3 linked regions of the Pelodiscus sinensis genome follow. The protein of the gene in region 1 purifies or fractionates together with the protein of each later gene. This does not show direct contact. Links are inferred from orthologs where the notes say so. Each region holds a gene or a part of one and is shown in the gene's direction. Other genes may lie near its edges.

Region 1 (10,465 bases):
ATACAATTTAAAAAAATGAACACATATGAAAAGGACAAATCAAATTTCAGAACAGAAGGCGGATGGGGGGCTAATGATATTAGAGGTGATAATTGGGGAAGCTATCTTTGTAATGGGTAAGATAATTAATGTCTTTGTTTAAACCTAGGCGTAAAGTGTCGAATTTAAGCATGAATGTCAGTTCAGAGGATTCTCTTTCAAGTGTGGTCTTAAAAGGTCTTTGAAGCAGGATGCAGGTAATCAAGTGGTTGAGACAATGTCCTTTCTGGTTGAAATGGGAAGAAACTGTTTTTTCTTTGTGATCCTGTCTAATATCTATTTTGTGGGCATTGATCCTTTGGCGAAGTGTCTGAGACGTTTGTCCAATGTACACAGCAGACGGACACTGTCGGCACATGATAGCATAATTATATTTCTGGATGAGCAGGAATATGTGTTTTTGATCTTATAACTCTCGGCTACATTTCTATCACTCATTGGTGTGGGTGAGTAGTGCTTTTAATGTGGGTTTTATTGCTAAGTCTGGCAGACTGGGAGTGAAGGGATTGGTGGTGCAGACCTCTCAGCAAAGATGGTTGGGAATCTCTCAATTTCAGGCTTCAGTGAAAGGGAAAGTGCTTCCCTTGGGAGCAGAGGATTGGGAGTTGGTGGTGTGTGTAGGGAGGGCGTTTTTGTGGGTGAATGGAGCTGGCTCTGGAGTGATGCAATCTCCATTGAAAAGAATAATAATCTTCCTTCCTGTTCCTCCCCACTGTGGGGAATTGAGGGGCCCACCCAAGTAGCTAGAAGGGAGGTCCCCCAACCCAAAGAATGTCTGATGCTGAGGAGGGGGCATCCCAGACTCTTTCAATCAGGGATGGAGTGATGAATTTCTCCTCTAGGGGTGCCAGTGGGTAGATGAGAGAGTATCTTCTACATTCACTGGGGAGGTGAGGTGTTTTCCTGTGGGGATGCCCCAAATCTCGCAGTGGGATGGGGTGAGGTTCTGCCCTGTGAACGTGAGGCTCCCAGAGGGGGTTGAAGCTGGGGGGCTCCCAGAGGGTGGGGATCAAGCTATGTCCGAAGGGCATGGGGGCTTCCAGTGGAGGGTCAAGCTGTGCCAAGGGCATGGAGGGGTCAGGCTGTGGTGAGGAGGTAGCGGGGCGGGGGGGGGAAGAGAGGTGTCAGGCTGTGTCCAAGGGCTGTGTCCGAGGGGCGGGGAGTAGCGGGGGGGGGGCAGTCAGGCTATGGTGAGTGGGTAGCGGGGGGGGGTCAGGCTGTGTCCGAGGGGCGGGGGGGTAGCGGGAGGGGGTTAGGCTGTGTCTGAGGGGGAAGTAGCGGGGGTGTCAGGCTGTGTCCGAGGGGCGGGGGGGTAGCGGGAGGGGTCAGTCTGTGTCCAAGGGGCTGGGGAGGTTGCGGGGGGGTCAGGCTGTGTCCGAGGGGGGTAGCGAGGGGGGGGTCAGTCTGTGTCCGAGGGGCGGGGGGGGGGGTCAGGCTGTGTCCGAGGGGCCGGACACAGAGTAGCAGGGGGGGCCACTCAAAAAGAAATAACAAAATGTTTTTAAAGTACATTAGAAGCAGGAAGCCTGCTAAAAAACCTGTGGGTCCCCTAGATGATCGAGCTATAAAAGGAGCAATCAAGGACGATAAAGCCATTGCGGAGAAACTAAATGATTTCTTTGCTTCAGTCTTCACGGCTGAGGACGTTGGGGAGATTCCTGAATCTGCACCGTCCTTTGTGGGTGATGAATCTGAGGAACTGTCCCAGATTGAAGTGTCATTAGAGGAGGTTTTGGAACAAATAGAAAAACTTAATGTTAACAAATCTCCGGGACCAGATGGCATTCATCCAAGGGTTCTAAAAGAACTTAAATGGGAAATTGCTGAGCTATTATCTGTGGTTTGTAACCTATCCTTTAAATCGGCTTCCGTACCTAATGACTGGAAGGTAGCCAACGTGACACCAATATTTAAAAAGGGCTCTAGAGGCGATCCTGGCAATTACAGACCAGTAAGTCTAACTTCAGTACCGGGCAAATTAGTCGAAACAATAGTAAAGAATAAAATTGTGAATCATGTAGAAGAACATAATTTGTTGGACAAAAGTCAACATGGTTTCTGTAAAGGGAAATCCTGTCTTACTAATCTGTTAGAGTTCTTTGAAGGGGTTAACAAACATGCGGACAAGGGGGATCCAGTAGATATAGTATACTTGGATTTTCAGAAAGCCTTTGACAAGCTCACTCACCAAAGGCTCTTATGTAAATTACATGGCCATGGGATAAGAGGGAAGGTCCTTTCTTGGATTGAGAACTGGCTAAAAGACAGGAAACAAAGGATAGGAATAAATGGTAAATTTTCAGATTGGAAAGGGGTAACTAGTGGTGTACCCCAAGGGTCAGTCCTGGGACCAATCCTTTTCAACTTATTCATAAATGATCTGGAGAAAGGGGTAAGCAGTGAGGTAGTAAAGTTTGCAGATGATACCAAACTGTTTAGGATAGTCAAGACAGAAGCAGACTGTGAGGGACTCCAAGAAGATCTCACCAAACTGAGTGACTGGGCAACAAAATGGCAAATGAAATTTAATGTGGATAAGTGTAAAGTAATGCACATCGGGAAAAATAACCCCAACTATACGTACAGTATGATGGGGGCTAATTTGGCTACGACAAATCAGGAAAGAGATCTTGGAGTTATCGTGGACAGTTCTCTGAAAACTTCCACACAGAGTGCAGCGGCGGTCAAAAAGGCAAATAGGAATTATTAGGAAAGGCATAGAAAATAAGACCCAGAATATCTTACTGCCCCTGTATAAAACTATGGTACGCCCACATCTTGAATACTGTGTACAGATGTGGTCTCCTCACCTCAAAAAAGATATTTTGGCCTTGGAAAGGGTTCAGAAAAGGGCAACTAAAATGATTAGGGGTTTGGAACAGGTCCCATATGAGGAGAGGTTAAAGCGACTGGGACTTTTCAGTTTAGAAAAGAGGAGACCGAGAGGGGATATGATAGAGGTCTATAAAATCATGAGTGGTGTGGAGAGGGTGAATAAAGAAAAGTTATTTATTAGTTCCCATAATAGAAGAACTAGAGGACACCAAATGAAATTAATGGGTAGCAGGTTTAAAACTAATAAAAGAAAGTTCTTCTTCACACAGCGTGTAGTCAACCTATAGAACTCCTTGCCAGAGGAGGCTGTGAAGGCTAGGACTATAGAGTTTAAAGAGAAGCTAGATAATTTCATGGAGGTTAGGTCCATAAAAGGCTATTAACCAGGGGATAAAATGGTGTCCTTGGCCTCTGTTTGTAAGAGGCTGGAGAGGGATGGCAGGAGACAAATCACTTGATCATTGTCTTCGGTCCACCCTCTCTGGGGCACCTGGTGCTGGCCACTGTCGGTAGACAGGATACTGGGCTAGATGGACCTTTGGTCTGACCCAGTACGGCCGTTCTTATGGAGGGGTAAGCGGGGGGTCAGGCTGTGTCCGAGGGGGCGGGGGAGGAGCGGGGGGGGGTCAGTCTGTGTCCGAGGGCCGGAGGGGAGTGGTGGGGGTCAGGCTGTGTCCGAGGGGCGGGGGGGGGGGCGCGGAAGGGCCAGTCTGTGTCCGGGGGGGTGCGGGGGGTGCGGGGGGGGTCAGTCTGTGTCCGGGGGGGAGCGAGGGGGTCAGTCTGTGTCTGGGGGGGAGCGGGGGGGTCAGTCTGTGTCCGGGGGGCGCGGGGGGGGGTCAGTCTGTGTCCGGGGGGCCGGGGGGTGCGGGGGGGGTCAGTCTGTGTCCGGGGGGGCGCGGGAGGGGCACGGGGGGGGTCAGGCTGTGTCCGAGGGGCGGGGGGTAGCGGGGGGGGGTCAGTCTGTGTCCGGGGGGCGCGGGGGGGGTCAGTCTGTGTCCGGGGGGGCGTGGGAGGGGCGCGGGGGGGGTCAGGCTGTGTCCGGGGGGGTAGCGGGGGGGTCAGGCTGTGTCCGAGGGGCAGGGGGTAGCGGGGGGGGTCAGTCTGTGTCCGGGGGGAGCGTGGGGGGTCAGGCTGTGTCCGGGGGCCGGGGGGGCGCGGGGGGGTCAGGCTGTGTCCGGGGGGCGGTCAGGCTGTGTCCGGGGGCCGGGGGGGCGTGGGGGGGGTCAGGCTGTGTCCGGGGGCCGCGGGAGGGTTAGGCTGTGTCCGGGGGGCGCGGGGGGGTCAGGCTGTGTCCGGGGGCCGGGGGGAGCGGGGGGGGTCAGTCTGTGTCCGGGGAGCGGGGGGGGGGTCAGGCTGTGTCCGGGGGGGTGGCGGGGGGGTCAGGCTGTGTCCGTGGGGTGGGGGGGAGCGGGGGGGGTCAGTCTGTGTCCGGGGAGCGGGGGGGGTCAGGCTGTGTCCGAGGGGCGGGGGGTAGCGGGGGGGGGGTCAGGCTGTGTCCGGGGGGGGGTGGCGGGGGGGTCAGGCTGTGTCCGAGGGGCGGGGGGTAGCGGGGGGGGGTCAGTCTGTGTCCGGGGGGCCGGGGGGGTGCGGGGGGGGTCAGTCTGTGTCCGGGGGGCGCGGGGGGGGGGTCAGTCTGTGTCCGGGGGGGTAGCGGGGGGGTGTCCGAGGGGCGGGGGGTAGCGGGGGGGGTCAGTCTGTGTCCGGGGGGCGCGAGAGGGGCGCGGGGGGGGTGTCAGTCTGTGTCCGGGGAGCGGGGGGGGGGTCAGGCTGTGTCCGAGGGGCGGGGGGTAGCGGGGGGGGGGGTCAGTCTGTGTCCGGGGCGCGGGGGGGTAGCGGGGGGGTCAGGCTGTGTCCGGGGGGCAGCGGGGGGGGGTCAGTCTGTGTCCGGGGGGCGCGAGAGGGGCGCGGGGGGGTCAGTCTGTGTCCGGGGCGCGGGGGGGTGGCGGGGGGGTCAGGCTGTGTCCGAGGGGCGGGGGGTAGCGGGGGGGGGTCAGTCTGTGTCCGGGGCGCGGGGGGATAGCGGGGGGGTCAGTCTGTGTCCGGGGCGCGAGAGGGGCGCGGGGGGGGTCAGTCTGTGTCCGGGGAGCGGGGGGGGGGTCAGGCTGTGTCCGAGGGGCGGGGGGTAGCGGGGGGGGTCAGTCTGTGTCCGGGGGGGGCGGGGGGGTCAGTGTGTGTCCGGGGAGGCGCGGGGGGGTCAGTCTGTCCCCCCGCGCACGGGGGGGGGCGCCTCTCCCCGCGCGCCCAGAGGCAGGCCCGGCGGCCTGTGGCGGCGGCGGGGGCGCGCGCGCTGCCCGGGCTCGGTCGCGCCCCCGCTCGGTCACGTGTCTGCAGGAGGCGGAGCCGCGGCCGGGCTGCTGCGGTGTCCTGGGCGCTTGGCAGGGAGCGGGCCGACCCCCCCGGTGCGACGGGCCCAGGCCGGCTCTCAGCCCGGCGCCGAGGCGGCGGCTGCCCAGGTGAGGGCGGGGCCGGGCGGGGGGCTCGGGCCCGGCGGGGGGGGGGCGGGTCAGCGGGGCCGGCCCGGGGAGGGCAGGGGCCGGGCACGGAGCGGGCCGGGCCGGCTGGGGGCGGGGGGGGAGCGCGGCCGGCGGGGGGAGCGCGGGGGCGCCCAGGCTCCCGCGGGGGGGGCGAGGCCTGGCCTGGCGCGTGGGGGCGGGTGCCCGCCCGGGCCTGGCGGCGGCGGCTCGCGGGGCTGGGCTCTCCCTGCGCGGGGTGGGGTCCTCCGGGGGCGGGGGCCAGGTGCCTGGGGGGGGGGGCTGGCAAAGGGCCGCGGGCCCCTTTCTCCGGCTGAATGTCCCCGGGGCTCCCGTGCCACCTCCCGGGGGGGGGTCGAAAGTCCCTGCCTGGATGGCAGCCCCCCCGGCACCCCGCCCAGCAGGGCCCGCACCTTTGCTCTCACGATGCCTCCTGCAGCCAGGCGGGCCGAATAATGTTATTCAAAGAGAAACCTCTGATTTCCTTGGCTCAGTTAGTCCCATGAGCAGCTCGCCTAGGTCTGACCCAGCCCCCCGAGAGATGAAGACCTTTGTCACTTCCCAGCATTCCCTGTATGGGCTGAACATAGCTCTGGAGCTCTTGCGTGCTGCCTTGGTGAATCTTGTGCACACTGGCTTCCTCATGTCTGCACTTTGTAGTTGTGGACCCCTTAAACGGGATCCATCCCAGTTTAATAGGAGGGTATTGAATGTTGCATTGGCTAGAGGGTTCATAGTCATACTTCCATTTCAAAGAATGTAGCACTGCTAAGATGGTGTGGATTGTTCAACTCGGATCCAATGTCCTCCTTTTGGTTCTGTCATAGGCTCTGTCATGTATGGGAAACTGGAAGATCCTGTAACTATTTTATTTGATCAACTATCCTTCCTATTTCTGATTTTGAACAAATGCAGGCAGTATGTCAGAGGTTTATTTGTGTTCTCTTCCAGCCCTTTTAAAATAAATTGAGCAACTTTGTGTCCTCTTATTGTGAAGTCTGCATTATTTTTTAAAACACCAACTGTGTTAAGAGACTTGATTACAGGGAACAGTGGCTTTGATTTCATAGGGGTGTCTTGCCTGGCCAGTTGTGCTACCTTTTCTGGTTTTGAGAGTAAACTGCAAAATGTAAATTACAAGAATGCTGTAGAAGTTAAGCCAAGATGACAGGGTTAATTTTAGTCCTGTGAGCCTTGTCTGGATTTTAAAATTGTGTATTGCACACACACAACCCACTTCCCACCTTAGTTAAGCTGCAACTTAAAGTTTAAAGGGACAGTCTTATCTGAGCTTCAGTTATAGAAATAACTCCATCTGTTATCATAATGCTATTAAACCCTCATGAGTATTTTTCATTGTATCTTTACAGAGGTGATATTTCAAAGGGATTCAGGACCCAAGCATCATTCTTCATCCTTCACTGATGGGGAAAATAACGAAAGGTCCTGCATAGGGATTTAATAGTGTAGTCGATTAACCAGTTAAACGCTTATAGGTTAATGCTACAGACTTCACACGTTTCCCTTCCCCCACCCTTGCCAGTAATTTTTTTAGCAGGCTGGCCAGCAGGCTGGCTCAGTTCTGGCTCACACCAGGTCCAGGAGCTCAGACCCTCCCTTAAACAGGGGCTGCTTCACCCTGCACTGTTGCCTCTTTATCAGAGGCAGCAGCACTGGGCGACAAGCAGCCGGTCTACAAGGGGAGCTGATTTTTAAACTGGCTCCCCTCATGGACCAGTTCCTGCCCGCACTGCTGCCTCTGATACAGTGGCTGCTGGAACCACCTCTGGGTACTATAGAATAGTTGACTAACCGATAAAAATTCATAAGGTTACTTGACTATTCAATTAACCAATATTTAACATCCCTAGTCCTTCAGCACCTTAGAGACTCGCAAAAAATATATAGGTAGTATCATGAGCTTTCATGGGCACGACCCACTTCTTCAGATAAATGGGCCACAAAGAGTGAAATGATCAAAAGTGTCCTCTATTTATGCAAACAACAAATTTTGGTTGGTCAAATTTAACCACATATGGTCTATTTCTTCATTGTTTTTGTTCACCTGTGGTGGTGAGCACTTTGTGGTCCCATGGATTTCATGTGGAGTTGTGTGTGTTAATATCTCAGGAAAATAGTAGATGTTTCAAATTAGGCATCCAAAATCAGTGGTTGCTTTTAATCTTTTTGGGCTAGTTGTCTACAGTTACACACAGCAAATTCATAGCAGAGCTGAGAATAAAACATGAATCTCATGACTACTTAGGTTACTACCTAATCAATTGAACCATACTGCTTCCTTTTAATATTAACGTAGAATGACCTGGTTTTACAATGATATTTTTTCATGATAATACTTTGATCCTACCTTTTGCTATTAAGGTCATATTTCATGATTTCTGCACCTCACTCAGGCTTCTGCTCACTGCTTCACTGTCCCCCTGGGAATTAAAAAGTGTCCCTTAGCAGATTTCAGACTTACCCAGTGGAGAGACTTGCAGTTGCTGCTCCTATGGTCAGTTATGCTTTGTCTGAAAAACTTGCTCGGTGGCAGAACTCACAGGGGAGGAACTACCTGCAATAACCTTGCTGCTTACATGATAATCATAGCGTTAAATCTGATGAGTATAGTTATTTATTCCCTTTAAAAAAAACCCCAAAATATCTTGAAAATCAGGCATTTCTAAAATTAGATTAAACTCTCAGTGGCCTTAAAAGTGTGGAACTGCAGTTACATTTCAATAAATAACCTCTGTGCTGTCCTGGATACTGTCCATGTAAGCCTTGTGAGGTAAATAAAAATCTGAGTAAGATACCGAGTTGACACCACTAAACCCTGTTAAACACATTAAAGCCAGTATATTTTGTCAATTTATCTGTGGACCTTAAAAAGTGCATAATATTAGATATCTTGTACTAGATCTACAACATTTTAGAAATGGTGTGAATCATAGTTGAGTTGTGTGGGTGTATTGGGTTCATGATGTATGTAGGGGAAGGGGACCGCACTGTTGAGGATACCAAAAGGTTAATATGGCTGTAAGATTCTGACATCTCTGGGCTGTATTGGGGAAAGTGGGATTGTACAGGTTTTTGATGTGTATCTGAAGTGCAGAAGGCAAGATTCTTTTGTTTCAGTCTTGCTCAAGAGATAATGCATTTTTAGAAGCTCACTATTAGTTATGTAGGTTGTGCTCATGGTGAATTTAATATGTAGAATGTGGACTGTAGTTCTCAACACTGAAAATGAGTCTGGTAACTTGTTATACTGTGTGTAGGCATACAGTTGTTTTGATAACCTTTCGGAAGGTAGGGGGAAGACTGGCTTGAAACATACTAGACCAGATAAGCCTGAGGTCATCATAAATTTCCAGGGGACAGCATCCTAGTGAGAAACCAATGCTGTTGCCTACAGTTATTGTCTAGATAGTAGAAGTAGACAAGCATGTGCTTTTAAAATTTTTGCTTGTCAGTAGGGCACTGACTTCTTCTTTCAAGTGGTAAACTTTCCACCCTTATTCATATCTTTGTGCTCTCCAGAGTAGCAATGCTTCTTGAAAAAGATATGTTCTGGCCAGTGCTCCTTTGTCTGTGCTAAGGATATTAAGTAACGGTTAATTTACTAGTCAAGTAGTCAATGGAAATTCCATCGACTACTGGACTTGTTGATAGGTACTGCTGCATAGGTACTTGTTGATAGGTACTGCTACCCCTACTGGGGCTCTTGTACATTTCAAAGAAGGAATGGGGAACTCCAGGTGCAGCCTGGGGCCAGCGGGAAGTCCGGCTGACTCAGGGCTGCACATGCTAGCTTTGAGATGTACAAGGGTACCTGGGCTCCATGCTGCGCTGCTGATTTGAAATGCCATGAGAAGCTGGGGTCAACTGGGGATTCCCCAGCTGATCCTGGGCTCTGCATGGCATGAACCTGGGATCATCTGGGCACACCCCAGCTGACTGCGGGTTCTGCGTGGCATCTCCCCAGAACCCAGGGTCAGCTGGGGGCTGCTGATCCTGGGTTCCGTTGAAATGCTATGCTGGAGCCTGGGATCAGTTGGGGAGGTTCCCAGCTGACCCCGGGCTCCATGCGCGGGAGCGCCGCACAGCTGATCACAAGGAGGAAGGAGAAAATTTGTTCCTCTTGGTTTCTGAGGACAGGACAAGGAGTAATGGGCTTAAAGTGCAGCAGGGGAGGTTTAGATTGGACATTAGGAAAAAATTCCTAACTGTCAGGGTGGTCAAATACTGGAATAAATTGCCAAGGGAGGTGGTGGAATCTCCCTCTCTGGAGATATTTAAGAACAGGTTAGATAGACATCTGTCAGGGATGGTGTAGGTGGAGCTTGGTCCTGCCTTGAGGGCGGGGGGCTGGACTCGATGACCTCTCGAGGTCCCTTCCAGTCCTATGATTCTATGATTCCCGCCTCGGAATTAAAGAGTCGAGGATCCCACTTTAAAAACCCTGACATTTCAAAGGGGCAGTGCCACATAGCTGATCCCGGACTCAGCTGTGCCGCACTGATACTTTGAAGTACCCCCTCTTCCCTCCCTTTGCTGCCTCTATCTGAGCAAGGATGTGGGGGAATTGACTAGTTGACTGACTGTCTGATAAGCATTTGCTTATTGGATAGTCAACTACTCCTTAACATCCCTAGTCTGTGCTAGCTTGTAATTATTTTTTTAGTTATATTCCAAAGTGCAGTGTTAAACTCATGAGGCTGTAATGATTTTTGGATCCTGACTATCTTTTAAACTCAGTCTCTCTCGTTTGATGCTTCAGGAGCTGAGAGATCAGCCAAGATTTTGATTTAACAGGCAGGCTGGTGTCAGGGTTTTTAAAGTGAGATCCTCGACTCTTGAATTCCTTTCAACACATTGGTCCACAAGAACTCAATTTTTATTTCGTTCTTTCAGTGTAGACCCTATTATTAGTGTGTGTGTGTGTGTGTGGGGGGGGGGGGATTCAGGCCCTCATTCTGTGCTTGGGACACTCGTACAATTGACAGTATCCTATCTTAATCCAAAAACATGCCCATTCTGTTATAGCTCAATTGCTGACTTCCTAGTTGCACCTAATGGTAAATACATTCCCCCACATCCCCCCAAAAAGGAAAGTAGTG
Region 2 (11,256 bases), on another chromosome or scaffold:
AGGAACAGAGGTTGTTTGTAATTCTTGGAGCCATAGCCACAGGGAGAGGGGCAACTGGGCATGGGTGTTGCTGGACAAAGGGGGGAATGTATTGAGCAGTGTGGCAGGACTAGCTGAAAGTGCAGGACTGGGGTTGAGGGCACAGGTGGGAGGAAAGTGCAGGGGTTGGGGTGAAGGGGGCACTGTACAAGGGTTGGGAGTAAAAGGGGCACAATGCAAGGTTAGTAGTAAAGAGTGAACAGGAGGGCGGAGCACGGGTTTGGGAGCCCATAGGTGTCAGGGGAAATCAGTGGTGCTATGCCCCCAAGGGTCAGGAGCATCAAAACACAAGTTCACCCAGGGTGGCATTTTCCTTAAGGCTGGCCCTGGATGAGAGAGTGCTGAAGAGACGTTGGGAGGAAGGATTCCTGTGACAAGTAGGTTTTTGGGAGGGATTTGAAGGAGATAGAGGGATCTTGATGGATGTAGTGGTAGACTGGATCAACTCTGAGAGACAGGATATAGGAAGTATAAAAACAGGAGTGAAAAATACATAGTGGGCGTAGTAAAGTGAATTGATCGGGAGAAGAATAGTGAGCAAAGGCAAGAGTTGGAAGGAATGAAAGCAGGGAACAAGATTGAAAGAGACAAGGATTTCAATTATATCTGATAAGAGGGAAAGTCAGCAAACAGATACAAGGAATGAAGTATGTGATGTAGGGAGAGCAGAGGGAGAATTTTTTGAATTTAGCAGTTATAAAGTGAGAGGAGAAGTTTCAGCAAATCAGGGTGTGGGGCAGTGTGACTAGTGAGGATAGATTTTGATGACAGTACAAGGAATAAGTGGTAGGGTTTAGAGAGTGGCTATGAAGGAAGAGGGCAAAGAAAAGTCAATTATGACAGCAAAATGGTGAGCCTGCAAGATGTGAAGAACAAGGGGAACTGTTAGTAGTGACAGAAGATAGATAGAAGAGGGGAACCAAGAAGAAAGATAAGAATTTCAGTGTGGTTGCGGGGTGATGTATTGAATGTTTCACTTACAGGGTGTTTGGAGATATAAGATTGCACAATAGGGGAGGTGTTATGGATAAAGAGACAAATTGGGCACTCAGATTTCAGAGACTACAGATGAAGTCCTGGAAGTAAGGGAGGTCACCAAGAGAAGAGTATGCAGGTTAAAATTATGGAATTGATGATAGAAACTTGAGGGATACAAACATTTGGAGAAGAGGGAAGAATGAGGATTCACTGAAGATGATGAGGGACCCATCAGGAAGGTAGAAGCACATGTGGCAGAGCACAGAAACTCATAAGTAGGTCCTCACAGATTCATGGTCCATTTTGGTCAATTTCATGGCTGTAGGATTTTAAAAATAATAATTTTCATTATTTCAGCTATTTAAATCTCAGATTTGATGAGTGTTGTAATTGTAGGGGTCCTAACCCAAAAAGGAGTTGTGGGGGAGGGAGGGTTGCAAGAATATTGTAGTAGGGGTTGCAATACTGCTACTAGTACTTCTGCACTGCTGCTATCACTGGTGTTGCCTTCAGAGCTGGACAGCTGGAGAATAGCAGTTGATGGTCAGGAGCCCAGCTCTAAAAGCAGAGCTGCTGCCAGCAGCAGCACAGAAATAAGGAAGGCATGATATGGCCTAATTTGAGAAATTCTGGTCTCCCCTCTGAAATCTGACTAGTATTGGTTAAAAGCACACAAAGGACTAGATTTCATGAGGGGAGACCAGATTTTATGGTTCATGACATGTTTTTCATGACTGTGAATTTGGTAGGGCCCTACTCATAAGTCAACATTGTAGAGAAAGCTTAAGAAGAGAGAACAGTAAACTGTGTTGATATAAGATCAAATAAATGTTTAAACTTAGCCACAAGAAGATTTGTAATGGTTTTGGTTAGAGCAATTCTAATAGAGAAGCCAAAATCTACAAACAGCAACACAACTAAAATACTTATTCTCTAATAAGATTTGTTTTAAATGATATTTAAAGGACTTTCATCATAATAGCAAATAAGCCACATGTGATTGCTAATTTTGAAGCAGTTAAAATATCACAAATATGTGAATTTTAAGAAGATGTTTCAGGAAGTTAAATCATAAATATACATTATTTGGGGGCAGTCCTGCATGCAAATAGCAATTAAACAATTTGGGGAAATAACATCAAATAAGCATATAAAACAGTAATTATTTAGAAACCAACTCTGCCTCAATTAAATTGAGTAGTAGCTTATTCAGAGAATATTATTCTTATTCAATGGGGCTACCCTCAGAGTAAGATATTTCTCAATGTGATGGAGGGCAGAATTGGGCCTTCAATATTTAAATAACAATTTGAAAAATTCTCCCTATTACTGTCATTTGAAATCTCTTACTTCCTTGTATGTTACCATTATGTTGTATGCTATATATTATGTCTTGTGCATATTTCATGTCTTGTATGTTGTATCCAGTATATGTTTAATAAATCAGTCACGATCTGCAATAAATCTACTGTTTTGTTTTAAATTAGCATGCATTTCATATCTCCTATATAGTCTGCTATTTTGGTTCACATATTCAATAACCTAACAAAATGTAGTGATTGAGAATAATACCAGCATTATAGCCAACTTTTCATCTAAGATTCTCAAAGCACCTGACAATCATTAGCAGCCAGATTCAGCCACCACTAACTCTCATTGAGCAGAACCTTAATTCACAAAAAGCTTTTTCAATAAAATTACTCTGAGTGAAGTTCTGTAATATCAAATGTCAGGGTAGCAGAATCTGGCCTTAAATACTTAACTGCCATAATGCCCCTGTGAGGTAGAAATTATTATTCACATTTTACAACTGCAGAAACTGAGGTCCCAGTTCAGCAAAGCACTTATAAGTTTAAAATCCCATTGACATCTAAGGCTATGTCTAGACAGCATTGATTTTCTGGATACTGTAGGTATCCCGGAAAAGCAACGCTGCGTCCAAGGAACGAATCCGCTTTTTCAGAAATTTTTTGGAAAAAGCGGATGTGCTCTTGCACCATCCCAGTAAACCTCGTACTATGAAAATAAGGGATGTGTCGAAAGAGCACTATTTTCCAAAATTTGGTACCTTGTAGACGCATCACATTTCAGAAAAGCCTCTTTCGAAAGTAACGTACCGCAAATTGCGTATCTTTTTCTAATTTACCAGTGCAGTCTAGATGTAGCCTCATACAGTTAAGAAAGTGCTGAAATGCTTTACTGAATTGGGGCATTAGGAACAGAGAGATTAACAGCAGATCAGTAGACCTGGGAAAAGAACCCAGGAGAAAACCCTGTCCCCTGAGGTGTTTATTATTGGATTGCTTGACATATGTACAACTATACACATTTTAATACTCATTAGGACATTGTCTCTAGTACCTAGACTATCACAGCAGGCCATGATTAGCCACTGAATATTAATTAGGTTCCCCTGGACAGAGGATGCTGCCTTCAGTAATGAAGAAGTCAAATATAAAATATAGGACTTGAATCTTTGTGTGCACTGGTATTTTAAAATTGAATAGAGCAATTCCAATCTCATGTTTGTAACATGAAATGCACAGAGCTGGGAGAAGGGCAATGCATGGGCTTGCTCTGAAATAGCACTGGGGATTGGAAAAGCCTGAGTAGACATGTAGATTTATGTTGGCAACACTTTTCTTTCTTAGGAGTATGAATAAAATATGCTCGAGTAACATACATTTTGCCAGCATAAGTGCTTGTGTGTACAGTGCTATGTCATTGAGAGTTGGTTCTCACTGAGCTGGTTTCATTGTGTGGATGGGAGACAGGCCATATGCAGGAATTTCTGTGTGTCGGGGGAGGGCTTTTTTTTGTAAATGTGGGCCACAAGGATGTGAATGCATCCCCTATGGTCCCCTAAGTAAGCAGGGAAATCAGCTCCAGCCTTCCCCTGGCTGGGAAGCTTAGTCAGCACGTTCGCTGCTCCTGCCTTCCCCTGGCTGTCCAGAGCATGCTTACTAAGGGACCATGAGGGGGGGGGGGAGGGGGGGGGGAGTGCTTTTGCACCCTTCGCACACACATCCCTATGGCCTGGGAGAACTCTCTCCCATGGCCAAAGTGCACACTTACAGCAGTACCATTGTATCAGGCCAAGGCAGCCACTGTGCTTTTGAATTGGGGCTAGGGTTTCCAGGTGGATTCAAAAAAAATTCCAGACACATTTGATCTCAGATGGCGGTGGGGGAGGGGGGCTGGCTAGGAGAATGGGGGGGAATCAGCTGGTGGGAAACAGGGCTGGTGGAGCGGGGTCGGGGGCAATGAGGCTGGCCAGGGGAGATCGGGGCGGGGGGGGGGGGAACCGGCTGGCGGGAAGCAGGGCTGGTCAGAGGGAGTGGGGCTGGCCGGGGGAGATTGGGTGGGGGGGGACCAGCCGACGGGAAGCGGGGCTGTCCAGGAGGGGGTCGGGGGGAGTGGGGCTGGCCGAAGGTGTGGAGTGGGGGGAGAGAATCAGCCAGCAGGGAGCAGAACTGACTCAGGCAGATGCAGATCCCGCGGTGCTACCCGTCCTGTGCACGCCCGGCGAAGCACAAGCGTGTCTGGCCCCGGGGATTCCTCATGCCCCGCCTCCCTCCCCCTTCGCATAGTTGTGTACTGCCTGTCTGGTAGACATACTCATGCAGCATGAGCGTGTCTACCAGCCAGGCAGTTTGCAACTAAGTACTGATACTTCTAATAACAAAACTTACCTAATTAGAAAATAATGGACATTTTATATGTCTGGTATTTTCTTAATTTTTTTCCCAGACAGAACCCTCAAATACCAGACTGTCCGGTTCAAAACTGTACACCTGGCAACCCTAATTGGTGATTTGGGGGTAAAGCGTGCGTGTGGGAAGCTCTGGGCTTACATAAAGGGCAGTGCCAAAGCAGCACTGCCTGTACAGCTGTGCTACGCCCCCCAGATCACTGCACCCTCATCCCCAAGCACTGCCGGGAGCGCATGGTACTTTTGAATCACCAGGCCCTAGGACAGCTGTCCCCTTTATTCCCCCATGCCTGCCTGGGTCACTGTGGGACACAGCCAAACATCTCCCCTCCCCCACTGCATGCAGCATGTGGCTGTGCTGGAGCAGCTCCCAGGCTGCCTGTGTGGGGAGGGGGGAAGGCTCGGAGGCTCCTTTCTGGAGGTGCCAAAGGTATGGGAGGGGTCTGAGGGAGGCTTGGGACAGAGAGGAGGGAAGACCTAGGGACACAGGCAGGGCCTGAGCCAGGAGAGGCTCCCTTCCTTCTTATCTGGAAGCTTCAGGGGATAGACAAGTTAGTCTGTACAAGTACAGGATAAACTTAAAAAACAACAAATGGTGTGGGTAGCACTTTATAGACTAACAAAACATGTAGATGGTATCTTGAGCTTTTGTGGGCACAGCCCACTTCTTCAGATGACTGGAGTTTTGAGTTTAGGATGTGCAGACCTAAAATAAATAGGAGAGAAGGGAGAGGGAAAGGAAGAAAAAAAGGAAGGGGGCAGGAAACAAGGAGCAGAGGGTATGAAAATATCAAAGGGAAACTCAAGTAGGCAGAACTGGTAATCTATAAGCACCCGAAGATTGGATAAAAAGCAGCAGATAAGGATCAAAGGACCGCAATTAGATAGGAAGGGTACTAACATAAGAATCTACACAAAGAGCTGTTGGCACCTTCATTGAATGTTAGTGTTTCTCAACCTTTTTTTTTTTTTTTTTTTTAATAAATTACCCCTTTTAAAAAAATTTAAGTACCCCCCTTTTTTTTAAAACAAAATTGTAAGTACCCCCAGTACCTAGTTTTGGGGGACACAATTTTTTTTCTACTATTGCAACACATTTGTTTAAACAATTTAATTGTAGCCAGGTGGGTGATGAAATTTTGGAGTGTAAAAAGTCCAAAAATAATAGAGCGCTGTAAAACTTAAAACAAAAATTCAGTTTTCTCCAGGTTTCAGTTGTGTTGACGTACCCCCTTCCCCCCCGACTTCTCTCAAGTACCCCTAAGGGTACTTGTATCACTGGTTGAGAAACACTGGAATGTTTTTGGTTGACAATGTCCCAGCCATCCAGTATCTCGATTGAGAAGGTAATCAGTAGAGGAATTGAATTTGTGGATGAATTGTAATTCCAACAACTCTCTGTGTATTTAGCTTGTAGAATTGGTCTGTGACAAGATGGCCACCTGGAGATCTCTTAAAGAGTGATTAGGTAGATTGAAGTGTTCTCCAACAGGTTTCTGTATGTTCCCTTTCCCTATATCTGATTGGGGTCAATTGAGTCTTTCCCGTAGGGACTGTCCAGTTTGTCCAATGGGGCATTGCTGGCATTTGATGGCATAGAGCAAATTACTGGTGGTGCAGTTGAATGACGCTCTGATTTGGTGGCTGATGTGGTTGGGTCCAGGGACGAATTCGCTGGTATAGACACTGGGCTGGTTGCAGGCCTGAGTTCCTGGAGGCTTATGATGTGGTTGTGCAGCATGGTGACCGGAAATCATTGGTTTCAGGTGGGGGGGGGGGGGCTTGTGAGCGGGAATGCCCCCCCCCGAGAGCGAGGGGTCATGTTCCAAGCTGGGTTGCGGATTGTGTACTCTCTGCTCCTTGTTTCCTGCCCCCCCCCATTTGTTTTGGGTGCGCCCATCCCACTCCGGCCATCTGAAGAAGTGGGCTGCGCCCACGAGAGCTCAGGATCCCGTCTCCTGCTTGTTCGTACATGGGCGGGACCAGGCACCCCCGCCCCTTTCCTGGGGGAGAGTCCATTGATCGCGGCGACAGGGGGAGCGGCAGGCTGCGCAGCGTGGTTGAACGCAGGCGCTCGGGCCTAGTTCGGTGCGAGCCCGTGCCCGGAGGCGCCGCCAGCAGAAGCCACGGCACTGGCAGCCGGGGGCGCTGATCGGGCCGTTTGGCTCAGTCTCCCCCCGGGTCCCGGCGGGGAATGGTGCCTTCCGCAGCGCGCGCCTTGCTCCCGCGGTTCGGTTGTTCGGCGGGGGGAGGGGAAGGGAGCGCCGGGCTGGCCCCAGGGAGCGCGAGCCGCGGCTCCGCACGGACGGGACCATGTCGGCGGGCGGGGAGGAACTGAAAGTGCCCGAGGAGATGTTCAAAGATGTCAAGTTCTTCGCAGTGGGAGACATCGACCCCAAGGTACCGGGTCAACCCCCCCCCCCTCCGCCCGCCGCTGGGCACTGTGGGCTCTTCCACTGCTTCCTTGCGCCGGTGACAGCTGTGGAAGCTCGCGCCGCTTTAAAGCTCGCGCCGCGCATAAGTGTGTGTGTGTGTGCGCGCGGGGTGTCTCGCGCACTCTCTGAGGGGGTTGCGGGCGAATGGGCTGCAGTCTCTGTGTTTCCCTCCGCACCCCCCGCGCCGTGGAACCGGCCGCCCCGGTGCGCAGGCCCCAGAGCAGCCTGCGCGGAGCCGCCGGGCGGGACGGCGAGTGGGAGAGCGACTTCCCCGGACAGCGGCGGCCCCCGCGGCAGGGCCCTCGGGTCCAGCCAGCCCTCCGCAGCCCCTCGCCGCCTCCTCGGGTCCAGCCTCCCCTGCCCATCCCGCTACAGACCCACGGGGGGACCCCTCGCTCCGCCTCCCGGCCCTGTGCCCAGCGCCAGCCTCGGGCACGGCCCGCTCGCTAGGGCCGAACCGCGGGCACTGGCTGCTCCCTCCTTTCCCTGCCCGGCTTCAGGGAGCAGCGCGGAGCCCCCTTTCCTGCCCTGCCCCATTCCGGGCCATGGGCACTGAGCCCCCGGTCGCCTCATCCCTGTTCGCCCAGCCCCGTGCCACAGGCACTGACTGCACTGAAAGGTCACTCGCCCGGCGCCTGAGGGTGCGGAACATGCACGTTGCCATTGTGTCCCTGGATTTATAATGACCGCACTTAAAAATGTAGGGAACCGGGCGTGTAGTCAAGTCTTTGCACAATCACTCGGCACTTCTGTGTGTGAAAAATATATTGGGAGGGGGGGACTCTTTAGGGTTTGTTATAGTTACATATGATACATGTGAAGCGTTCCTCTCTGAAAGTATTAATCAATTGCTGCGGGTGATTAAAATCATTTTCTGTACCTTTTAAAGGAAATTAGAACATTCTCGCAGTCTAACTTCTTCACAAAGTTTTGACTGTCAGTAAGTAGCACACAAGGCCCCAATCAGACATTCTAAGAAATCCCTAACAATCCAGGATTTGAAAAAAAATCCCCAACCCAGCACTAGAAGTGCTAACTGCAGGGAATCTTGTGGAGGATGGAGGGTGAGGGAGTGTGATTTGTCAGGTTGTAAGGTCACTTTCATTTAATGACCAAATAAAAAGTGACTGAGTTTTCAGAGACCATTTACTTAGATTTGTTCTGGTTTTATATTTAATCTTAGCCAAAAGGCTGAGAAGCGATATAATACTATTAAACACAAAGAAGTGTTTTTATTATTTAGTAAAGTAAAAGCACTCAAAAGATAGGAAATGCCAGAATTAATATGACCTGTGCAACTTTAATTCAGCCCCCTGTGCATATTCATTATGAAAAGTGTTTAATTATATGATCACATATTATTTTCCCCATAAGACTCCAACCTCATTCCTTCCAAATATGGATGCTGCTTATTTAATGAGCAGCAGTTCAGTATTTTGCTTTATTCTTATTGTTCATTGTGTGGGGCCCCTTACCTTATATATTGCACACTATTCAGACTCTGCTGTGGAGTCAGAATTATTATTTTTCTTAAGGGTATTTCTATGGCGCCCCTCACTATTGTATTAAAGTGCTTCACAAACCGATACTACTTAAATCTTTTCAACACTGCTGTGAAGTGAGAGGTGGTATTATCCCCATTTCACAAATGGAATCTTAATTTTGGCTTTTTCTAATGTTTGTGCTTCACTTTGCAATCTTAATGGTATTTTAACATACCTTTTTATGTGTAACTCTGGATTTTTAAAACAAACTGAAAAATAGAAATTCCAACATGTGGCATCAGGATAACAGATAAGCCTTAATGGGTGAGGCTTATCTGTTATGGTTAACCAGTGGGGGCCCACTCCAGGCCAGCTGAGACAGGCAAGCTGTCCCCCTCACCCCATTTAATCAGTTAATGGGTTAAGCATAATGTTTCAATGGTTAACTAATTAAATGGAATTTTACACCCCTAATTTTGACACCCACAGTGGTCATCAGTAGGGTTGGAACCTTTACATCCATTGTACAGATCTCTGCTGTTGTTGGCACAGACCTCTGTTGTGGAATAACTAATAGTAGAGATGTTAAAATTAGATTAATTAATAATTGAATAGTCGATAGAATTTCCATTGACTATTCAATTAGTTAAGGGTGCGTCTGTTTTAAAATTAGCAACAGCTGGGTGGCTCTTGCTATCATTTCAAAGTGCCAGGCGGTGTTCTGCCTTTGAAATGCGGCATGGAGCCTGGAGCCAGTGGGAAGTCTTCTGCTGGCCCCAGGCTCCATGCGGCAATTCAGCTTTTGAAGCTGGCCCCAGGCTACATGCTGCGTTTCAGTCTTTGAAATGCACCATAGCCCCTACTGGGGCTCTTGTACATTTTAAAGATGGAATGCCACCGCTCTGCCCCTTCCCCTTCCCACGAAGCTGGAGCTGTGGGGAACTGGCTTTTAAGCAGGCTCCTCCCAGCACCCCATCTCTCTCACCTTGCTGCCTCTTTCTAATAGAGACAGCAAGGCCTGGAGCGGAGTGGAGCAGAGCGGAGCGGGGCGGGGGCGGAGGGAGGGACTAGTCAGTTAGTTGCTTACATCCCTAACTAATAGCAGGAGCAGTTTAACATCCCCTGTGTGTATTAACACCTTTGCCAGTGGGTTTCATAGATATTTGCTGACTACAGAGGAGTGGTTAGCTTCAGCAGTCTTGGGTTCTAGTCTAGGCTGTGGAAGCTAATTACCCTACTAGGCACAGACTCTTCTGGCCATTCCTGCCAAGCATGAACTCTTCTACCCTGTCCTTATTTCAGTCTTGTCTCTTTTCCCCCCCTTAAATCCTTATCCCATTCTCCTTGTCTTTTCAGTCCCAATCTCCTCTTTTCAGGATTTCACCACAGTCTTTGACGCCTACACTGGCATGATTTTGTGGAAATACTTTTAACGGAAAAGTTTTTCCGTTAAAAGTATTTCTGCAAAAGAGCGTCTAGATTGGCACGGATGCTTTTGCGCAAAAGCATCCGTGCCCAGTATAGATGCGCTTTTGCGCAAGAAAGCTCCGATGGCCATTTTAGCCATCGGGTGTCTTGCGCAAAAAATTAAGGTGCCTGTCTACACTGGCCCTCTTGCGCAAGTATTCTTGTGCAAGAGGGCTTATCCCTGAGTGGGAACATCAAAGTATTTGCACAAGAAGCACTGAATTTTTACATAAGAACGTCAGTGCTCTTGTGCAAATTCAAGCGGCCAGTGTGCACAGCTGGCAAGTTTCTTGCCAGTCTAGACACACCCTTACTGTTCCTGCACTCAGTCCGTGTTCCCCTCTTTCAGCTCATCATCTGATCTGCCTCTCTCTTCTTGTCCTAGTTTCTTTGCCCAGCCAGTCCTAGGTCTCCCTTCACATTTTAGCTCTTTGTCAAATCTGTCTCCCCATACACACTGGTCTTATTCTGTCTGCTCTCAGCTCCTTGTTTAGTCTCTACAGCCCTGTGTGGATACTAGGGATGTGAATGACTAATTGACTATCCAATAAGCAAATGCTAGTCGACTAGTCGCTTCCTTCCCCCTCCCCCCCGCGCTATCAGAAAGAGGCAGTAAGTGGGGACGGGAGGAGAGGATGCTTTAAAGCAGCAGCGCCTCATAGAGCCCGGGGCCAGACCCCGGGCTCCATGCAGCGCTGATGATTTGAAATGTTGTGTGCAGCCTGGGGCCAGCTGGGGACTGGGCTGCACGTGCACGCAGTGTTTCAAAGTGACAGTGCTGCGTGGAGTCCACAGCTGACCCCGGGCTCCACACAGCATTGCCACTTTGAAGCACTGCAGGGAGCACAAGGCCACTGGAGGATTGCTTGAGTCTCCCACTGGTCCCATGCTCCCTGCAGCACTTTCGCCTTTGAAGTGTAGCAGAGGCACCCTTATCGACTAATCGAATAGTTGATGTAAATTGCATTGACTATTCAATTAGTGAGTTCATCATAATTTTACGTCCCTAGAGGATACAAATGTCTACTTGCAGATGTGGCTATCCACGTATAGAAATCAGTATTCGCTGATCTGCAGCCCTCTACTCTCAGGAGATGCAGCCAAAAGAGATTAGTGTGGTACTGCCACTCCAGGTGGGGCT
Region 3 (10,444 bases), on another chromosome or scaffold:
GGTCCTATGTGTCTTGGGCCAGGTATATGTTACAAAAATAGGTTGGTATAACTAACATTCCTCACAAGATTGAAAAATCCACACCCCTGCATGATGCAGTTAAACCAACCTAACCTCCAGTGTACACAGTGCCATATTGATGGGAAGGCTTTTCCCAGCACTATTACCTATTGTGGAGGTGAAGTACCTATGCTGATGAGAAAAGCACTAATACCACTGGTCCACTGCAGTGTTTTCAATGCAGACCTGCCCTTGTTGGGTAAAAAGGTGTGTTTCCATCATCTTATCTCAACTGTGTGAGCTTAACATGAATGAAAAACACTCAGCACTAATTAAGATGTATGTTAGCTGGCCAAGCTCTGGTAGGCTTTCATGTGATCAGTTTTGCAACTGTCAAAGGCATAGTATTTTCCCTACAGGACAATTTTAAATTGTTATTCTGCCTTAAATCCTAGTGTAGGCAATGCCATTGTGACTATTTTTTTCTGAGAGTCATGCAGACACCTGTCCTGAAGAAACCAAAATTAAACCTTAACTCGTTTTATATTGAAAAGCTTCAGAGGGGTAGCCGAGTTAGTCTGTAACTGGAAAAACTTAAAAAACAACGAATAGTCTTGCAGCACCTTAAAGACTAACAAAACAAGTAGCTGGTATCATGAGCTTTCATAGGCACAACTCACTTCTTCATTTTATATTCGTTAGTGAACCATTATTAGATTGATCTGGATTTGAACTAGTAACATGAAGGAGAAAGTGTCTGTGTCCCACTACCAGCAACTTGAGTCATTTTATTCCTTGTTATTTTTGTTGCACAATACTGTTTCTAATGCTATAATAACCCTATAGTATTTACATACTAGTTCTTATTTGTCTTTAATGGTTTCCATAACAAGATCCCATCTTCCTTTCACTCCTGTTTTGGCAGATCTGTGGGCATTAGAATTTTACTCCTAGTTTGTCATTAAGCACATCAAAACAACTTTATATGTGTAAGTCAAAAACTGGAAATGTGCCTCATTTAAATATTCTTGCAGGTGCTCTCAGTTATAGGTTGAAACCAATTCTGCAGGCACTTGAAAACACTTACTTTGAGGGGGCTTGGGAGTTTATAACTTCAGTTGGCATTTTCAAAGGACTCTGACTTGATTGGCACAAATTATTATTAGTAATTATTATTAGTAGTAGTTCTATTTAGTTAAATACAAATGAAAAGCCTTCTTAACATCCATTAAAATGCAGAGTGCTGCTTAGTGTAAGGCTTGGGACATGTCTATAGTTGAAGGTTTTTTCAGTATGGCTGTGTCTAGACTGGCCAGTTTTTCCGGAAAATCAGCCGCTTTTCCGGAAAAACGTGCTGTCTACACTGGTCGCTTGAATTTCCGCAAAAGCACTGACTTCCTACTGTAAGAAATCAGTGCTTTTTGCGGAAATACTATGCTGCTCCCGTTCGGGCAAAAGTCCCTTTTGCCAAAACTTTTGCGCAAAAGAGCCAGTGTAGACAGCTGAGATTTGTTTTCTGCAAATGGTGATTGGGGCTTTTTTGCGCAAAAGCGCGTCTAGATTGGCCACGGATGCTTTTCTGCAAAAAGTGCTTTTGCAGAAAAGCGTCCGTGCCAATCTAGACATGCTTTTCCGAAAATGCTTTTAACGGAAAACTTTTCCGTTAAAAGCATTTCCGGAAAATCATGCCGGTCTAGACGTAGCCATATTATAGGTATACCAGTACACTATACTGGTAGACTATGTCTACACTACGAGTTTTTGCAGCAAAAAATATGTTAATGAGGTACTCATTTGCATAAATCACAATCTCATTTGCATATTTTCTGCCAATCCGATTTGGGAGGGGAGGGGTTGCACAAAAACAAGCAGTGTGGACGTTTCCTTTTTGCGCAACCCCTTTTCCTGCCAGATCCTTATGTCCCCAAGAAGGAGGCTTACTGATCTGGCAGGAAAAGGAATTTTTGTGCAAAAAACCCCGTCCACGCTGCTTGTTTTTGTGCAAAAAAAGGCTTGCATAAATTATGCAAATGAGCTGCAACTATATGCTAACCCACATCTCATTTGCATACTCACTGCCAGCAAAATCGGCAGTGTAGACATAGCCGTAACGTGCTATGCAGCTTATACCAGCAAAACTGCATTTTTTCCTGTATATATGTTCTAGTCCCCCATAATGAAATAAGTTTTACTGGCAAAAGCCCAGTTTTGCTGGAATAGCTAGGTCTACAATAGAGGATTTTGCTGGCATAGCTATGTTGATCATAAATCATGCCCATCTCATCCCTGACAGACACAGTTATCCTGACAAAAAGTTTATAGTATAGACCTGGTCTTCATATAAAATCCTCATGATGACAAGACACTTGAATTGTAAGTCTGTTGGAGTAAACAACTATTTTTGGTTCCGTGTTTATACAGTGCCTTGCACAGTGAAATCCTGGTCTATGACTGGTGCCCTTAAGTGCTATCATAATACAAATACAAAGTTCTAGTAATAGGAGTTTTTACCTCACTGTTGCTAGTTGTGGTAAACCCTGGGCATTATGGTGGTGACCTCAATTAGCTTCATTGAGGTAACCTGAGTGCTTTGTCTCCCCTAGCATCTTGCACTATCTCAATGTGAAAAACAATATCTTTTATTTTTGCAAAATTTCTGAAGGTGGCTAGCAGGAATTTTTTAGGGAAGGGGGGAGATGAGGACTTTTTTCCTTTTGTTCTTCATCCGGTCTTTTACGCAGACACTGGTGACAGATCTAGCTTTATCTGCTCCTACTTTGTTAGTGGTCAAGTTGTGTGTAATGGCAGGCTCTCAGGAAATCATGGGTACAGCGTGGGTGGGAAAAGACAACAAATCAGCCAGTGCATGTACACATTTCAAAATGCTAGCTATACTCCTGTTGTGCCTAGTGTAACAAGCCCATTCTTCTCAATCAGTAGGGGCCCACAAGTAAAATAAAAACCTAAAATAAGGACCACCACATAATGCAGGACTTTACAAGTTGTATTTGAGGTTATTAATTTGGGGTCTTTTGTGAGGCTGAGCACCAAAATTTCTGGTTTCCTCAGCAAAGTTTTTAAACATGCACACAAAATATTTGAGTCACATATATATACACACTCAAACACTGTAGGATTTTCTTTACCATACATAACATCGGTTTCATAATTCAGCATTTGTGATGTGAATAATTTACTTTCACAAAGGAGAAACAGCACCAGGCTTGCCGGGGAGAAAAGTAAAGGTCACTGTGAAAGAAGAGAGACTGACCATCCCTCAGAGTGGACAGTTAAGGGTTTGCTGTGGTCTTGAAATATTCTAGCAAGCTGCTGAGGAGTTGGCAACAGGGGAGAGGGCTGTGTCAATGAATGAGGGACAGCGGCACCATCTCCAGAACAGAAACACATTCACCAAAGTCCTTCCTGGCAAAGAGGGGCAGATTTAACACTGCAAAACTGACTCTCTAGGCAGAGAGGTGGGGGGAAGCAGGCGTCTCCTGCCCTCCTCCCAGTCTCCCTACCAGGGCTGCGCGTTTGGGGCGGATCCGGGATGAAAGTCCAGATGTGCGCTGCGCCGCTGGGGTAAATAAGGCAGCTAACCGGCCCGTCCTGCTCAGGTATCAAGCCCCAACGCCCATACATGCGGCATGACGGCATCTCCCCAGGGCGGCTTCCTCGCCCTATGCCCGGACATTAGGGCACCAAGCCGCGGATCTCCTTGGAGCGACTCCAGCGGGCTGCGGGACGCATTAAATCCCGTGTAATAATGAGTCTTAACCCCCGCGCTGAGCCCCAGTGAATCCGGGCGGGCAGGCAGCCAGCTAGGCCCTGCCCCGGGGGGGAGGGGGGAAGCGAGGAGTGAGATTAGCACAAACACCCCCCCCCCCGCCTCCCTCAAGCAGCCGCAGCTGTTACAGCCGGAGTTGGCTGGAAACCTTCCACGCTGCCCAGACTTTGTCTCAGAGGGCCAAGCCCTGCTCGCTCCTGTGATGCGAGCTAAGCTCCTAGGCCCTCCTCCCCTCCAGCACTGCTGCGCCTCAGAACATGCCAAAGAGACTCCCGGGGCCCTGCACACTGCGTGCACACAGCCTGACTCAGAGCAAAGCTGCCACATACACACGGGGCGCAGAGGTTGCACAAGGAACAATCGCCATTGGGCTCCGTAGGTGTGTACTAAACACTCTGCATCTGAGGGGTCAGGGTTTCCCCTGCCGACGTGTAAGGAGCACATGCGTGTGTTAACACCACACACACATGCTTATCCAGGGAAATGACAGCTGTGTGCGTTTGGGGCTACATTCTGCTCTCCACCACTCGGCTGCCAAGCTGGATTGCCTCTAATCAGTTGGCTGGCTCCGCGTCACAGGGGTGCACACGAGAGCAGCATTTGCTTCCTCCCTGGCCGGAGACCCGCTCCCTACAGGGCCGTGTTTGCTTAGCCAGGTCTGTCTACACCCAGCGCCAGCTCCCCGGGAGCCGCCCGCAGCCACGGCGGGGCTGAGCGCACTGGGTGTCGCACGCTCCGAGCCCAGTCCCGGCTCCCGGGCTCCGCACTTTCCCCGCAGCCGCCGCCAGCCCGGCAGAGACAGCGAGCCCGTGAGGTCAGCGTCGGCGGCGCGTCGCAGGGGTGTCTGTGCTGTGGGACGGTGGGCGGGCGGGCCGGGCAGGCGCAGTGTGGGGCCCGCGGGGGGAGGGGAGGAGGCCGAGCGGCTCTGTGTCTATGTGTCGCACTGACGAGGGTTACACACCAGGGCAGCCGCCGCCACCGCACCGGGCTCCCTCGCCAGCCGCAGGCCCCGCGCTTCCCCCTCCGTGTGCCCGTCCCCAAGTAAACTTCCTGCTCCCGGCCCGGCCGGGAGGGGAGCGGGGCCCGGCCGGACTCTGCCCCCGGCACACACAACAGCTGGAGCTGTCAAAACTTCCTCTCTGCCTCGGCCCCTGCCGCCGCCTGCTCCTCCTCCGCCCCGGGGGCGCCGCCAGGGGGAGGGCGCCGCGTACAATGAAGCGGCGGCCACCGCAGCAGCCGGGCAGCGCAGGAGCCGGAGCAGCCGCTTGTCCCCTGGGCCTCTGAGGCGAGGCGCCCCCGCCGCGGGAGTGCCCGCGCGTCTCTGCCCCCTCCCCGCCCCTGGCGAGCCCGCTCCGCGGGGCGGTTATTTGTGCGCGAGCCCCTTCCTCCCCCCCCCCACACACACACTCCCCGCCTCCCCATGCCGCTCCCCCTGCTACCTGCGCTGGTCGGCGGCGGCTGAGGCCAGCGATGCGAGGCGGAGGTGGAGGAGGCGGAGGTGAGGCGGAGAGGCGCATCGGGAGCAGGAGGAGCATCGGGATCCTCATCGCCACCCTCCTCCTCATCCATGTGTCTCTCTCGTCCTGCTGACTAGGATGTCAACGGAGGACAAGAGTCTAGCCGCGGGGGTGGCGGAGCCGCCGCCGCCGCCGCAGCAGCCCCCCGAGCCCGCAGCTCCCCCCCCAGCAGCAGCCACAGACAAAAGACCTAGGGGCCGGCCTCGCAAAGATGGCGCTTCCCCTTTCCAGAGAGCCAGAAAGAAGTAAGTTCGGAGCGTGTGGGAGAGGCAGCGGGGCAGGGGGCAGGCAGAGCTGTCAGCACAGGCTCGCTCCTCAGCGCCCCCTCCCTTCTGCCCAGTGCCATTTTGGGAGGGTCCCTTCCCCCCTCACCTCTTTCTTCTTTCTTTTCCTCCTCTGCCCGTGGCACTCTCCCCTCCTCCCCCACTGCTCTCTCCCTTTTCACCTTTGGCCTCCTTCTTCTCTCCCTCCCTCTCACTTTTCTCTCCCTTTCCTCCTCCCACCCGCTCTCTCCCCTTTTCCCTGGCATGGCCCCTTCCTCAGTCCTTCCCTCCCTTTTGCACCTTTCCTCTGCCCTTCTTGGGATCTCTCTCCTCCTCCAGGGCTCTCGCTTGCCCTCTGTGTCCCTTGCTGTGTTCTGGGGGAGGGGGAGTAAAGAAAAGCTTGATCTAGCCCTAACTGGATGACTCTACAAACCTCTGTCTACGTAGACACACACGCAAAGTTTAGACAACAATTCCCTGCAGCCAACCCAGCCGCGGAGTGTGTTTGAAAGTAGAAGCTGCCTTTTTCCTGGAGCTGTCAAACAGCCTCAGACGGGTTGGGGATGGCCCGGCTAGGGAAGCGAGGAAGGGAGCAGGCACAACAGGGGGTGGCTGGGAAGATTGTGGTGTTTTGCGTTGTCGTTTGCTGTCGCCGGCTAGCTTCCTTCTCTGGTCCCCGCTCTCCGCACGCTTCAGGCGGAACTGAATGTGCTCCGTTCACTTTTAGCGAAGTTAGGCAGGCTGCCACTTGCAGCTGCGTCAACTATCAACAGCGCATCTCAGACAAACCGAGGGAGCGCTGGAGTGATCTGCAGCGTCCAGATGTGGTGCAGGTGGACTATGTTTGGTTTTAAATAGAAGGTCCCTTTTATAATTTGCTTGCTGTGCTTTAGTGTGAGGTTTAGGAATGCCTTTTATCTAATTTCCATATCCCGTGTGCAGTTAGTAACAAACTCTCTGACAGTCAACGAGAACCCCGATAACTTTGTGTTCATTTTCAGGAGGACAGTATGCTTTACATAACACAATTTCAGGGAATATTACAAAATATTTTTCTTTAGTGAAAATGTGTAATAACATTGAATGTTATTATCACACATAAACTAATGTTTTAATAGACATACCACAGTTTATATATAAATTGGTACATGCATGTGGGTAAGGTAATACAGACTGAACCTCTCTAGTCCAGTATCCTCAGGATTTGACTGGTGCCAAACTAGAGAATTTGCTGAACCACAGGAGGGTGGTATTGTCCAGCAGCATTACCAACACTTCCCCTGCTTACTGGGCTGTTAGAAGACATTTTGGGGTAAATTAGGGCTAAATAACAGCACAGAACACTGAAAGGCAGGACTGGTTTGTGGGTGTGGCCAAGTTTTCTGTAGTCCCTGTAAACAAACTTTATGGGACTGCAGAAAACTTGGCCACAACCATGATAAATGAACATCCAGCTAACTAAAATCATGCCGGACTAGGGATGTAAAATCCCAGTTAATCAGTTAACTGGTTAAACATTGAGTTAACCTAATGTTTAACTATGTAACCAACTAAAGCAGGATCTGGCCTGGGCACTACTTCAGCCTGGCTGGAGCAGCCCTCAGCCCGTGGGGTTCCCAGTCTCTTGCTGGGGTTGGTAGCTGGCTCCAGCCATGCACTGGGGCTTGTGCTGCCGCTGGCTCCCAATTCCCAGCTTCCACGCTGGGTCTGGGACTGGCTCTGCCAGCTCCCAGCTGCCACCTCCATGCTGCTGCCAGAGCAGTCCCTGTCCACGGTGGGCCCAGGCTTGCCATGGACAGAGGCTGCTCTGAATGTGATAACAGCCACTGGCCGTGGAGCACCTGAACCCGCTGTGGACAGGGGCAATTCCTGTCTCTGGCGGGCCCCCCTGTGAGGCTGGAGCAGCCCCCTGCCTGTGGCAGAGGGGGAGCTGTTCCAGTGCCCCCCGGTTGCCGGCTATCCTCAACCGGTAAGCATGGCCCGTTAACCAGTTAATCTTTCACACCCTTATGCCGGACTACAGATGTTGCCAGATCAGAGAATGCTGGACTAGAGAGGTTCAACCTATATCTTTGTTTGGATCAATTTCTATCTCCCTGTATTGTGAAGCAGAAGTCCAAAAGGCCTCTTGCTGGTAGCCACAGAAAGTGCTACTTATAAACCAACTGTACTCAGTTTTGGTTGTTAGTGAGAGAGTATGTCCTAGGATAAAAATAGAATAAACCTGTTTGCTACCATTTTAATTATGTTTGTTAGAAATGTAAGCCTTAATGTTTTAGTATTTTTTTTAAAGGGTCATGGTCAACTTGACATCTAGGCAATTTAAAACAAAAATGTTTTGTTAAAGCTAGATCATTTCTCCTGAGTCTCCCAGTCAGTTTTTGTAGTTTATAATGAAAGACCTTACACAAACAACAGTGGAAACTAACTGTACAAGGAAAACTGTGAAACCAACTATATACAAAGTGCTGTTAAGAGTATAAAATAAACTGAACACATAGAAGAAAATATGTTAATTTAATAATTCAGGTGGATTGATCTTCCATGTTACTTGTAATGATTAAACAATTTTTTTAGATAAAAGTCTGATTAGTTCCCTCCCCCCCCCGTTTTTGACAGTTCATGTTAAAGGCTTTCTAACATTGACTGTCTGATTTTATTGTGGTTGTGTCTTCTAGTAGCATTTAATTCACAATCCTATCTCTCTTAAATCTTTGCATTTTGTTAAAATAATGGATTTTTTCCATAGTGGAAGTTTAAAGTGATTTCAACAGTTCTCGCTGATGTTTTTTATGTGCCTTTCAAGCATAGAGGCCAGAAGGAAGGATTATAATAATCTAGTCAGACCTCCTGCACATTGCAGGCCACAGAATTTCACCCACTCCTTTCATATAGACCCCCCTAACCTCTGGCAGAATTATTGAAGTCTGCAAATCATGATTTAAAGCTAAGGTCCAGAGCTGTATGCAGCCCCCAGCTTGTCTGGATCTGGTCCTTGAGACTCAGTGGCCCCTCCAGCATTGCGGAGCATGTGCTAGTGCTCCAGCTCACCCTTCCTCCCACCGCGGGGCTGAAGCTCACTAAATCAACTAGACTGGGTCCCCGTAGGCTCTTGTGTGCGAGGGGATTGCGGACAGTGTCTTTCTCCTTCTGAATCGGGGCCCATGTCAATACACGTATTTTTGCTTCTCACTTATGTGTGGCCCCCAACAGATTTTTCTGTGGGTCAGTGGCCCCAACCCAAAAAAGGTTCCCCACTCCGATTTAAAGAGTTCAATCCTTGCATTCAATATTGATCCCTCTGCTTTACCCTTAGATGTAAATACATTATCCTGTTTTATTTGTATATGTAACATCTAGTTACATAGAAAGCATTTGAGCTACTTTTACAAAAGTATTTTTATAGTGAAACTCTGAATGCTGCCTATTTATGATTCTGTAGCTACATAATATTAAAAATTAACAAAATTAATTTAATCACTTTTAAAATACTGCCGTTTGTGGAAAAGGCAGTTTCTTCCATGCCAGTTTAAGATAATCTGTATACTTTGTGAAAAGTGTATTTTCTTTTTCAATTATATTTCTAGTGTTAAAGGGACACAGTCAGTTTCAAGGAGAAATCTAGATTATTTTTATTTAAGAAGTCTAAAACTATAAATACTTATATGACGTCTAAAATCTGTGTCAATGCATGAGAGCCAGAAAATGAAAGTAGCTAGAGACAAAAATGAAACTGGTTTTCATTAGCTTTATGTACTTCACATGAATCAGGTAAATGAAATGCAAAAAGTAAACAGACAGTTCAAGTTGTTTGTTTTCCTCTGCAGTTTTAATGTTCCTGTATATGACTTGATGCTGCAAGCTGATCCTCACAGGAGGACCATGCGAATGGAAAGCTTTCATGATTGTGGCCTGAGGTGTTTCAGTAACACAAGGAACCAGCATTTCTAAAATAGGATTTTGGAGGTTGTGTTAGAGTTACCCCAATGTATCACTGATCAGATGAAGACTGGACTGTTTTTAATCACCAGTGCTTCTGAAAAGAGAGGGTTTTTTTAAGCATACCGTTTAAACAAGTCTAATACGTTTCAACGTTAAATAAACATTTAGTGAAAATAAAGTTTCCATTTTTGTGTGATTGGTTAGCTATGTCTTCCTCTTCTCTCACGTGCTTTCCAGTTGGATTAATATGTTTTTTGTAAATCAGATAATAGAGGATCTGTCTGAGCATGTTGGGTACCATAATCATATGTTTAAGTCACTGTTGCCAATAAGATAGTTCAACCACTTTATATCATTCTGGAATATTTTCCATTGGATATTCAGTTAAAGTAATGCTCTAAATAAGATCAGTACATTAAAACAGCGTAGTCAAAGTAAAAGGTTTTATGAGTTTAAAGTGCTGCCTGTAAAGAACAATATTAGAAAAATACTCAATTAGTGCTATTTCACTTCCTTACTGATCATGGTTTGAAATGGATGATTGAGTTAAGACTTTTTTTTTCATTTTCCTGTATAGTGTGTGCTCCTCTGAGATGCTTAGAACCCTCAACTCTTCACAAATATAGGCCCTTTATTTATTTTTCATGGGAGCATAGAAATTGCCATGCTGGCAGAGATTTACACAGTTCTATCTAAACTGGCATCCTGCCTCTGGCAGCAGCACTACCTAACGTCATAAAAAGACTAAAAATCCTCATTTTTTAGCCTACTGTACCGAGTGCACTAAGCATTGTGCCATGTTCTGCATAAGAAACATGGGAAGTTGCTTATAGGTGATGAAGAAGTAATTAATTTACTATGAAGAAAAGACTCATCAGTTTCATTACCTTGAGCATTTCTGCCTGTAAAGAAGCATGTCACAGTAGCTTTTCTGA

Evidence for each region.
Region 2: the proteins of NCOA6 (region 1) and PAXIP1 purify together in Homo sapiens (co-immunoprecipitation; 6 studies listed by BioGRID and IntAct, with this or other methods). This does not show direct contact. The link is inferred for Pelodiscus sinensis from reciprocal best matches to the Homo sapiens genes NCOA6 and PAXIP1.
Region 3: the proteins of NCOA6 (region 1) and KMT2C purify together in Homo sapiens (co-immunoprecipitation; 7 studies listed by BioGRID and IntAct, with this or other methods). This does not show direct contact. The link is inferred for Pelodiscus sinensis from reciprocal best matches to the Homo sapiens genes NCOA6 and KMT2C.

The regions. Positions count from the first base shown.
Region 1 is NC_134728.1:30,852,198-30,862,662, forward strand, and holds the start of NCOA6 (nuclear receptor coactivator 6), read left to right. Parts: upstream 1-5,159; 5' UTR 5,160-5,327; intron 5,328-5,758; exon of another isoform or gene 5,759-5,877; intron 5,878-10,465. UniProt on the Homo sapiens protein: Nuclear receptor coactivator that directly binds nuclear receptors and stimulates the transcriptional activities in a hormone-dependent fashion. Coactivates expression in an agonist- and AF2-dependent manner.
Region 2 is NC_134712.1:241,908,056-241,919,311, forward strand, and holds the start of PAXIP1 (PAX-interacting protein 1), read left to right. Parts: upstream 1-6,732; 5' UTR 6,733-7,042; coding exon 7,043-7,129; intron 7,130-11,256.
Region 3 is NC_134712.1:243,701,926-243,712,369, forward strand, and holds the start of KMT2C (histone-lysine N-methyltransferase 2C), read left to right. Parts: upstream 1-5,080; 5' UTR 5,081-5,285; exon of another isoform or gene 5,286-5,381; 5' UTR 5,382-5,382; coding exon 5,383-5,549; intron 5,550-5,676; exon of another isoform or gene 5,677-5,761; intron 5,762-5,867; exon of another isoform or gene 5,868-6,231; intron 6,232-10,444. UniProt on the Homo sapiens protein: Histone methyltransferase that catalyzes methyl group transfer from S-adenosyl-L-methionine to the epsilon-amino group of 'Lys-4' of histone H3 (H3K4).